Saccharomyces cerevisiae S288C: one gene and its partner. The protein of the gene in region 1 binds, or shares a complex with, the protein of each later gene. Each region holds a gene or a part of one and is shown on either strand. Other genes may lie near its edges. A codon is read from its position in the direction of its gene.

The links.
Region 2: the proteins of RAD23 (region 1) and RAD4 are in contact, whole or in part, in a crystal structure (PDB 2QSF), measured with the Saccharomyces cerevisiae proteins. Residues at the interface, in NP_010877.3 of Saccharomyces cerevisiae: Leu265 (codon at 1,056), Arg266 (codon at 1,053), Gln267 (codon at 1,050), Val269 (codon at 1,044), Ser270 (codon at 1,041), Gly271 (codon at 1,038), Asn272 (codon at 1,035), Pro273 (codon at 1,032), Glu274 (codon at 1,029), Ala275 (codon at 1,026), Leu276 (codon at 1,023), Ala277 (codon at 1,020), Pro278 (codon at 1,017), Leu280 (codon at 1,011), Glu281 (codon at 1,008), Ser284 (codon at 999), Leu290 (codon at 981), Arg291 (codon at 978), Ile294 (codon at 969), Met295 (codon at 966), Ala296 (codon at 963), Pro298 (codon at 957), Glu299 (codon at 954), Phe301 (codon at 948), Val302 (codon at 945), Leu305 (codon at 936), Leu306 (codon at 933), Gly347 (codon at 810), Ser348 (codon at 807), Phe349 (codon at 804); in NP_011089.4 of Saccharomyces cerevisiae: Lys138 (codon at 2,369), Arg139 (codon at 2,372), Tyr142 (codon at 2,381), Phe143 (codon at 2,384), Met145 (codon at 2,390), Leu146 (codon at 2,393), Tyr147 (codon at 2,396), Val149 (codon at 2,402), Cys150 (codon at 2,405), Leu151 (codon at 2,408), Val153 (codon at 2,414), His154 (codon at 2,417), Phe156 (codon at 2,423), Ile157 (codon at 2,426), Arg158 (codon at 2,429), Trp161 (codon at 2,438), Gly224 (codon at 2,627), Leu225 (codon at 2,630), Arg228 (codon at 2,639), Ile233 (codon at 2,654), Glu234 (codon at 2,657), Ser236 (codon at 2,663), Lys240 (codon at 2,675), Arg241 (codon at 2,678), Lys242 (codon at 2,681), Phe243 (codon at 2,684), Lys244 (codon at 2,687), Thr245 (codon at 2,690), Leu246 (codon at 2,693), Lys247 (codon at 2,696).

The regions. Positions count from the first base shown.
Region 1 is NC_001137.3:80,756-84,684, forward strand, and holds RAD23 (Rad23p), read right to left. Parts: upstream 1,849-3,929; coding exon 652-1,848; downstream 1-651. Other genes in the region: putative acireductone synthase UTR4, read left to right, coding at 1-390; ANP1 (Anp1p), read right to left, coding at 2,295-3,797. UniProt on the Saccharomyces cerevisiae protein: Plays a central role both in proteasomal degradation of misfolded proteins and DNA repair.
Region 2 is NC_001137.3:500,038-504,851, reverse strand, and holds RAD4 (Rad4p), read left to right. Parts: upstream 1-1,957; coding exon 1,958-4,222; downstream 4,223-4,814. Other genes in the region: GCG1 (gamma-glutamylcyclotransferase), read left to right, coding at 1,070-1,768; SPT2 (Spt2p), read left to right, coding at 4,504-4,814. UniProt on the Saccharomyces cerevisiae protein: Involved in nucleotide excision repair of DNA damaged with UV light, bulky adducts, or cross-linking agents.

The DNA of each region.
Region 1 (3,929 bases):
CCCGTTTATGCAGATGCTATTGACTTTATCAAGAGGAAGAAGCGTGTGTTTATCTACTCTAGTGGATCTGTAAAGGCACAGAAATTGCTGTTCGGGTATGTTCAGGATCCCAACGCGCCTGCGCATGATTCGTTGGATTTGAATTCTTATATAGATGGTTATTTCGACATCAACACTTCTGGAAAGAAAACCGAAACACAGTCTTACGCCAACATCTTGCGGGATATCGGTGCGAAGGCTAGCGAGGTACTGTTCTTGAGCGATAATCCATTGGAATTGGACGCAGCGGCCGGCGTTGGAATAGCTACTGGGTTAGCTTCCCGACCTGGTAATGCACCTGTCCCCGATGGGCAAAAGTACCAGGTATACAAGAATTTTGAAACTCTTTAACAAAACTGTATATATGCGCTAAAAGCAGTATAATCATTATTTGTTGTTGTTATTATTATTATTATTGTTATTATTATTATTATTATTATTATTGAGATTAATATTACCATCTCTCTGTTTTCTTTTCTTTCCCTTCTAGCATATATAAATACACATACGTTATTGATTTCTACGTAAGCTTTTTTTTTCCCTTGGCTCAAAAATCATGCAACATTGTCGAGAATAAGTGAAGATACTTCAAGCCATAACATTACTACAATCTCAGTCGGCATGATCGCTGAATAGAATATTTGCTGCAGCTTCTTCGTTTTTATCGCACGCAAAATACACCTGGATAACAAGATCTCTTTCAAAGCCCAATTCACAGAGGCGCGAAATAGCTTGATCGTCTTCGGGGGTATAGTCAACTTGGAAAGAACCTTCACCTTCACCTTGTCCCAGTCCTGCAGCAGCAGCCTCTCCTGTAACTTCTATATCCTCTCCTTCCACCATATCATCCGCACCTTCCATAACATCTTGCATATTGTCACCCACGGCTTCTAGCAACATGGACACAAACACTTCTGGGTTTGCCATGATATGTTCACGTAATTGAGGATATCTAGCACTTATGTTTTCCAACAATGGGGCTAAAGCTTCTGGGTTACCTGAAACGACCTGTCTCAACGATAGTAAATCTTCTACAGTGAGGCCAATGGAACCTGGAGGTCCACCTTGCGCAGCATCTGTAGCTCCTCCAGTTGTGCCAAGCGCACCGGATGAAGCATTACCGCCTTGGGCAGCTTGTGCAAATAAGTCGTCTTCAGCCGGTTGTTCCGCAGTGGTGGCGGCTGTCGATGGTTGTTCCGCTGCGGCGGCTGTTTGTTGCTGTGGTTCCGGTTGACGCAGATTTTCTGGAATACCCATCAGTAGATATTCCACCGCTCTATCTGGATTATTAAAGGCTGCTCTCAAGGCTCGTTCGACTTCCTCTCTTTGGTAGCCCATTTCCATGATTCTCTCGATGGTCTCGTTCCTCTCGGTTCCCACCACGAATCCCGGTGTAGAGGCAGATTCAGTACGTTCTGTAGTGGCGGTTTGTTCTTCTTGCGGTTGTGAGCCTTCGGGAGCAGTGGCTGCAGGAGCTGCAGAAGCATCCGTACTGGGGGATGCTTCTGTAGAATTTTCTCTTCCGGGGGTAGTGGCGCTCTCAGGAGCAATTGGAGGTTCTGTTACTTTGGTCTTCGTGGACTTTTTTTGAGAAACCATGAAGACAACTTGGTCCCCATCTTTTAGCCCGCATTCCGATACGGTTTTGGAATCTTGTAGCACTTTACCCGAGTAGATCAGTTTTATTTGAGATTCTTCACAAGAAATGGATTGAGCAAGCTTGGTCTTGGTCTCTAAAATTGTGTTTGAAGGTTCCAGATCTAAAGGAACTTTTTCCTTCTTGAAATTTTTAAAGGTTAAGCTAACCATTTTTCTATTGTATGTTGTCTTTGTGTGATCTGTGATTTAAAGGTGGAGTTAGATGCCTTTATTAAGTCTTTAGAGGAAGGAAAATTGGATGGTAGCAAGCTTGTCTGCGAACGGCCTTATCAATGGTTCAAACTTAAAAACAGGGAGAAAAACCTAAGTGTACCTTCTAGCTTTAGCTACTAGTCAATACTGGATGGGACCTTGTTCTATCATTTTTTCTTAAGTTTTGCTGTCGCTATTTCTTGCCTAGCCATAATGAAAGAGAAGAAAATAAAAAAATTTCAATTTCGCCACCGAGCCGTGTATAGTGATTGATATAACAATGGTATTGTAATTCACTCAAAGAAAAGTTAAAGACCAAAGAATAGAGGTTTGATATTATTATCGGTATATATGTACAACTATATGAATTCGTACTTCATATGTAGGTCACTAAAAAACCGAGCCTAGTTTCTATCAGGGTCGAAGTCTAATGGAACTTCTTTAGGATGTTTTTTCTTGTTCTTGTCGTTGTCATCAAGAGGTTTCCCCTGCGGGTTGCCGTCGAGCTGTTGTTGCTGTTGCTGTTGCTGCTGCTGCTGTTGTTGTTGTTGTTGCTGTTGTTGTTGTTGTTGGTTGTTTGGTGAGACAAAGTCACCCTTTGAGTCCACCAGCTCCGAGCCATCTCCCTCTTCAGACCAGTCTACAGTGACTTTATTGTTCAAAGTGGAGTCAATGTTTTTTAAGATTGAATCTCTTTCTTCGTTCCATTGGTCTCTGACATCTTCAAATCCAATCTCCCAGATCTTGTTGTAAAATTCGCGAATTCTCTCTTCTTCTAGTTTCCGCTTCTCCTCTTCAGCCATCCAAGCCATGTGCTTTAAGTCGTCGCTGGAAGGTTCGTAGATGTGCCAGATGACATAATGGGGCAAGCCGATGACATTGTAATTCATCCTGCGGGAGAGCCTACCGAATGCTTCTGTCTCTGCGTGCTTTTCAAAGGAGAATGCAGGAAAGTGTGAGCCTGTTCTGAATACTTTAGCTTTCGCGAGAATCGAGACCCCTCCAATACCGTCCAATTCCATTTCGTCTTCTGGATTACCGTTTGGGTCTCTCATGTATGCCAGGTGAGGTCTCCAAGTGGCGTACTCTGGGTACCCTTCCACAATGACAGCATCTTCGTCTAGGGAATCCGCCAATTGAAGACCCCCTTCTGATTCCTTCCATGAATTTAAATCGTAGGGTTGAATGTTTCCCAGCCAGTCTGGTAAAGGTCTCCAGACGTTGGGGACAATGACGTCCTTGTCGTGATGCATTAGATCCTCCATGATGGTAGTGGGGATGGTTTCGACATCCACGTCTCTCCAGTAAACCCAGGAGTGGTATGGTTTCAGGGCCACGGACCCAAGCCAATTACGAGCCCTGGCCATCAGCTTTCTTCTGGGGCCCTGGGCGCCAAACCCGTGACGATCAGAAAAGGACTGACCAATGATTTGGCCGAAGTCCTTCTCATAGATTTCGATGTTACCAAACCTTTTGGACTTGTCTTGTTGCGATTGCGCCATCTGTAGATTGGATAGTAACACGCCCATGGTGTTATCCGAAGAGTCACTCACCAAAAACGACAGATCAATCAGGTTGTGCGGATATGTCATGGTATTCAGATGGTTAAAAAACATGGGAAGATGCTCAGAAGCATCTCTCAGTGGCACGCAAAACAAGATGCGGTCACCCTGTTGCCAACCATCTTTGTTGCCTTGGTAATTTCGTAGGTCGTAGAACTCTACGCTGGGAGTATTTTTAAAATCTGGAACATAGGGCTTGAAGATTCCTTGGAAAGTTACCAGCTGGAATAGCGATATCGAGAAGAACGAAAGCACGAGTCTTGTGAGAAAGAACACCGTAAGCAACGTTCCAGCGATACTTACTGTGGTAGGGTTGAACGAGAGTTTTCTGTTATTATACTTCATTATGGACGTACACTTTGCATGAAAGCCACAAGGAACTGTTTAATGGAGCGAAAAAAAGATGATGAGGGTAAATCGCACCAACACTCGCCTAGCAACTGAGTGATGAATGGTTTTGCAATGCTTGCTGTCTCT
Region 2 (4,814 bases), 420 kb from region 1:
TATATCAGTAATGATATCAGGAAAGAACTTTGTAATGTTTGGGAACATATGTCCTAGTGTAGGGATGGGATGTGATAAGGATCGTGGGATGTTAAATTTATTCTCTTAGATGAAATTGCCTACACCTTCTGGACGGTTGATAATTAAGTTTTCAACTTTAGCGTGTTTCATTTTCAAAATATTGAAGAAGTGGCCTACCAGTGATATCCAACCGATGCGCGAGCAACACGCAAGCCCTTGGCTTGTGAGCAGCGTTTAGCTGACCGTATTACGCATTGATGGGCTGAGGAAAACATACAGGCAATCATGTCTTTTGATTTTGGCAACGTATGATCTTTTACCGTATATGGGGCAGTAACATATCATCGAAGTAAAAGCTAAAACAAAGAAAGTTAAAAAAAATAAACGTACAACATAGAAGCTTACCTTTCAAGGATATCTCAAAAGTATCAAATATATCACGGTGACTTCGGCCTGCGAAAGAAGATTTTCCTCGAACGGTGAAATACTGAGATGATCCATAAAGTAATGAGAGTGTTCTCGCTTGTATGGTTCGCTGACCTATGCCACCCGTGTTTCTCCATTGCGCAGAGGCTTCCATATTGACCACTACGTAGTGGCAACTTAAAACAATCAAAAATCGTTTTCTTCCTTAGGACTTGACTGCTTCGTCTTAAGATTATTGCCAGAAATTGAAGACAGAAAACATCAGTGAGAGGGGAGGGAGAGAGTGTCGCAACGTATGACCTCTTTTAAAGGCGTATGTCAACCAGCGGTTATCAATAGTTCCCTTGTGTTAAGGGAAGCTTGGAAGTTGTCACCAACACCTAGCAGACTTTTCTTCGACGTCCTCCCTAGTGGTTTATATGAAGAGAATGAGAAAATTTGCCACTCCAGTAATTTTTCCTTTTTTTTTTTTTTGGATTCGCCAAGGAGCGGGATAATTGGTATTCTGGGTAACGCTAAAAGGTAAGGTCAATATTAGCTATGAGTTTAGTCTCGAGGTGATTTAACCTTGGAAGAAGCAATCACGACGTTGGTTTGGGCTTATAAAAAGTTGTATGGCCAAATGACTAATGACAACAGTGGTATCTGGGTCCTAGGCTACGGATCTCTGATTTACAAGCCTCCGTCTCATTACACGCATAGAATACCGGCAATAATTCACGGTTTTGCTCGTCGGTTCTGGCAAAGTTCCACTGATCATAGGGGTACACCTGCAAACCCAGGAAGAGTGGCCACACTAATCCCGTATGAGGATATTATAAGGCAAACTGCCTTCTTGAAGAATGTGAATTTGTATAGTGAAAGTGCACCTATCCAGGATCCCGACGACTTAGTCACCATAGGGGTAGTGTATTATATACCACCAGAACATGCTCAAGAGGTTAGAGAGTATTTGAACGTAAGAGAACAAAACGGGTACACTCTACATGAGGTTGAGGTGCATCTAGAAACTAATCGGGAGCACGAGGCAGAATTGGGTGAAGCATTAGAACAGTTGCCTCGGCACAACAAATCGGGTAAACGGGTACTACTTACTTCGGTGTACATTGGTACAATAGATAATGAGGCCTTCGTCGGACCAGAGACCGTGGATGAAACTGCGAAAGTAATTGCCGTGTCGCATGGACCTAGTGGATCTAACTATGAATACCTTGCAAAACTGGAGCAAGCGCTAGCGCAAATGCCCATCATGAAAGAGCGAGGGCGTATTACCGATCATTATCTGACTGCTCTATTGGAGACTGTAAATAAATACAGGTGAATGAAATATGTATACATATCTTGATTAACTATGTAAGGTTCTCCTCTTGCTTTTCTACCATCTATATAGTGCGGCGGAAAATGGAAAAATGCGGTTAAGTACCTTTAATGCATGCACAATATATGCAAATTTTATGCAGTTCAAACAGGACGACAAGCAGAGACATAACGACACTATTTTTCCGCTAAAATGAATGAAGACCTGCCCAAGGAATATTTTGAACTAATAAGGAAGGCTCTTAACGAGAAAGAGGCAGAAAAAGCGCCCCTGAGTAGAAGAAGAAGAGTCAGAAGGAAGAACCAGCCCCTACCAGATGCCAAGAAGAAGTTTAAAACAGGGTTGAATGAATTGCCACGAGAAAGCGTTGTTACTGTAAACTTAGATTCTTCAGATGATGGCGTCGTTACGGTACCGACGGATGATAGTGTAGAGGAAATCCAGTCATCTGAAGAAGATTATGATTCGGAGGAATTTGAAGACGTGACAGATGGAAATGAGGTGGCCGGTGTAGAAGATATATCTGTTGAAATTAAGCCCTCTAGTAAAAGGAATAGTGATGCTAGAAGGACAAGCCGCAACGTTTGTTCTAATGAAGAACGGAAAAGGAGAAAATATTTCCACATGTTGTATCTAGTTTGCTTGATGGTTCATGGATTTATACGAAATGAATGGATTAACAGCAAGCGCTTGTCTAGAAAACTGAGCAACTTAGTTCCTGAGAAAGTGTTTGAGCTACTGCATCCTCAGAAAGATGAGGAACTCCCACTTAGGAGTACTAGGAAATTATTAGATGGGTTGAAGAAATGCATGGAGTTATGGCAAAAACACTGGAAGATCACTAAAAAATATGATAATGTGGGACTTTATATGAGAACCTGGAAAGAAATTGAAATGAGCGCCAATAACAAAAGAAAATTCAAGACGTTGAAAAGATCTGACTTTTTAAGGGCCGTCAGTAAAGGTCACGGAGATCCTGATATTTCAGTGCAAGGTTTCGTTGCGATGCTCAGGGCTTGTAATGTTAACGCACGACTTATCATGTCATGTCAACCGCCAGATTTTACCAATATGAAGATTGACACTTCTTTGAATGGAAACAATGCGTACAAAGATATGGTCAAGTATCCGATTTTTTGGTGTGAAGTGTGGGACAAATTCTCTAAGAAATGGATAACTGTTGACCCAGTAAATCTCAAAACCATTGAACAGGTCAGACTTCATTCCAAGTTGGCACCGAAAGGCGTGGCGTGCTGCGAAAGAAATATGTTGAGGTACGTGATTGCTTACGATCGGAAGTATGGCTGTAGAGATGTAACTCGAAGATATGCCCAATGGATGAACTCTAAAGTAAGAAAAAGAAGAATTACTAAAGATGACTTTGGTGAGAAATGGTTCAGAAAAGTGATAACAGCACTTCACCATAGAAAGAGAACCAAAATTGATGATTACGAAGATCAATATTTTTTTCAGAGAGATGAAAGTGAAGGCATACCAGATTCGGTGCAGGATTTGAAAAACCACCCATATTATGTTTTAGAACAAGATATCAAACAGACTCAAATTGTAAAGCCAGGATGTAAAGAGTGTGGATATTTAAAAGTACATGGAAAAGTTGGGAAGGTTTTGAAAGTTTATGCAAAAAGAGATATTGCGGATTTGAAAAGTGCTAGACAATGGTACATGAACGGCCGAATTTTAAAAACTGGTAGCAGGTGTAAAAAGGTGATAAAGAGGACAGTTGGAAGGCCTAAGGGCGAAGCAGAAGAAGAAGATGAAAGATTATATAGCTTTGAAGACACAGAATTATACATCCCTCCATTAGCCAGTGCGAGCGGTGAAATAACCAAGAATACATTTGGAAACATCGAAGTTTTTGCACCAACGATGATACCTGGTAACTGTTGTTTGGTTGAGAATCCTGTGGCAATTAAAGCTGCTAGGTTTTTGGGGGTGGAATTTGCACCTGCTGTAACTTCTTTTAAGTTTGAACGCGGCAGTACAGTTAAGCCAGTTTTAAGTGGCATTGTTGTTGCAAAGTGGCTCAGAGAAGCTATTGAAACCGCTATTGATGGAATAGAGTTTATTCAAGAGGATGATAATAGGAAGGAACATTTGCTTGGTGCTTTGGAGAGTTGGAATACTTTACTGCTAAAACTGCGTATTCGTAGCAAGCTGAACTCCACATATGGTAAAATTGCCGAGGAAGAACCTAACGTTACGAAGGAACAGAATATTGCGGACAATCACGATAATACGGAGACTTTTATGGGAGGTGGGTTCCTACCAGGTATAGCAAACCACGAAGCAAGGCCGTATAGTGAACCTTCAGAGCCAGAAGATAGTTTAGATTATGTTTCTGTTGACAAAGCGGAGGAAAGTGCTACAGACGACGATGTCGGGGAGGATTATTCGGATTTTATGAAAGAACTAGAGATGTCAGAGGAATCAGACTGAAATGAGGCTGAAACGGTTTGAATAATTAGGAAAGTATGTTTTTAATAAAGAAATTCTATGTTCAGGAATTTTGTATATACTTTGTAATGAATGAGAACTTAGTTGGCTTCAAACTTTTTCGTTTAACATGATTATTTTTCTTGTTCGACTAAGATATTCCCACATGGACAAGTGCCACAGATTAATATATGAATACAATAAAATAACTAGTGTAATTTGAAAATAAAAGTTGATGAGAGGGACAGGGACTTGAGTCCTATTCAAAGTGAAATATTTTAGTTATGAGTTTTCTTTCCAAACTTTCCCAAATACGAAAATCAACGACTGCATCAAAAGCCCAAGTGCAAGATCCATTACCCAAGAAGAATGACGAAGAGTATTCCTTGTTACCCAAAAATTACATAAGAGACGAAGATCCTGCAGTAAAAAGATTGAAGGAGCTGAGGCGGCAGGAACTGTTAAAGAATGGTGCTTTGGCTAAAAAAAGTGGTGTAAAACGGAAACGTGGCACCTCATCTGGATCTGAGAAAAAGAAAATAGAAAGGAATGACGATGATGAAGGTGGCCTTGGAATTAGGTTTAAGAGGTCTAT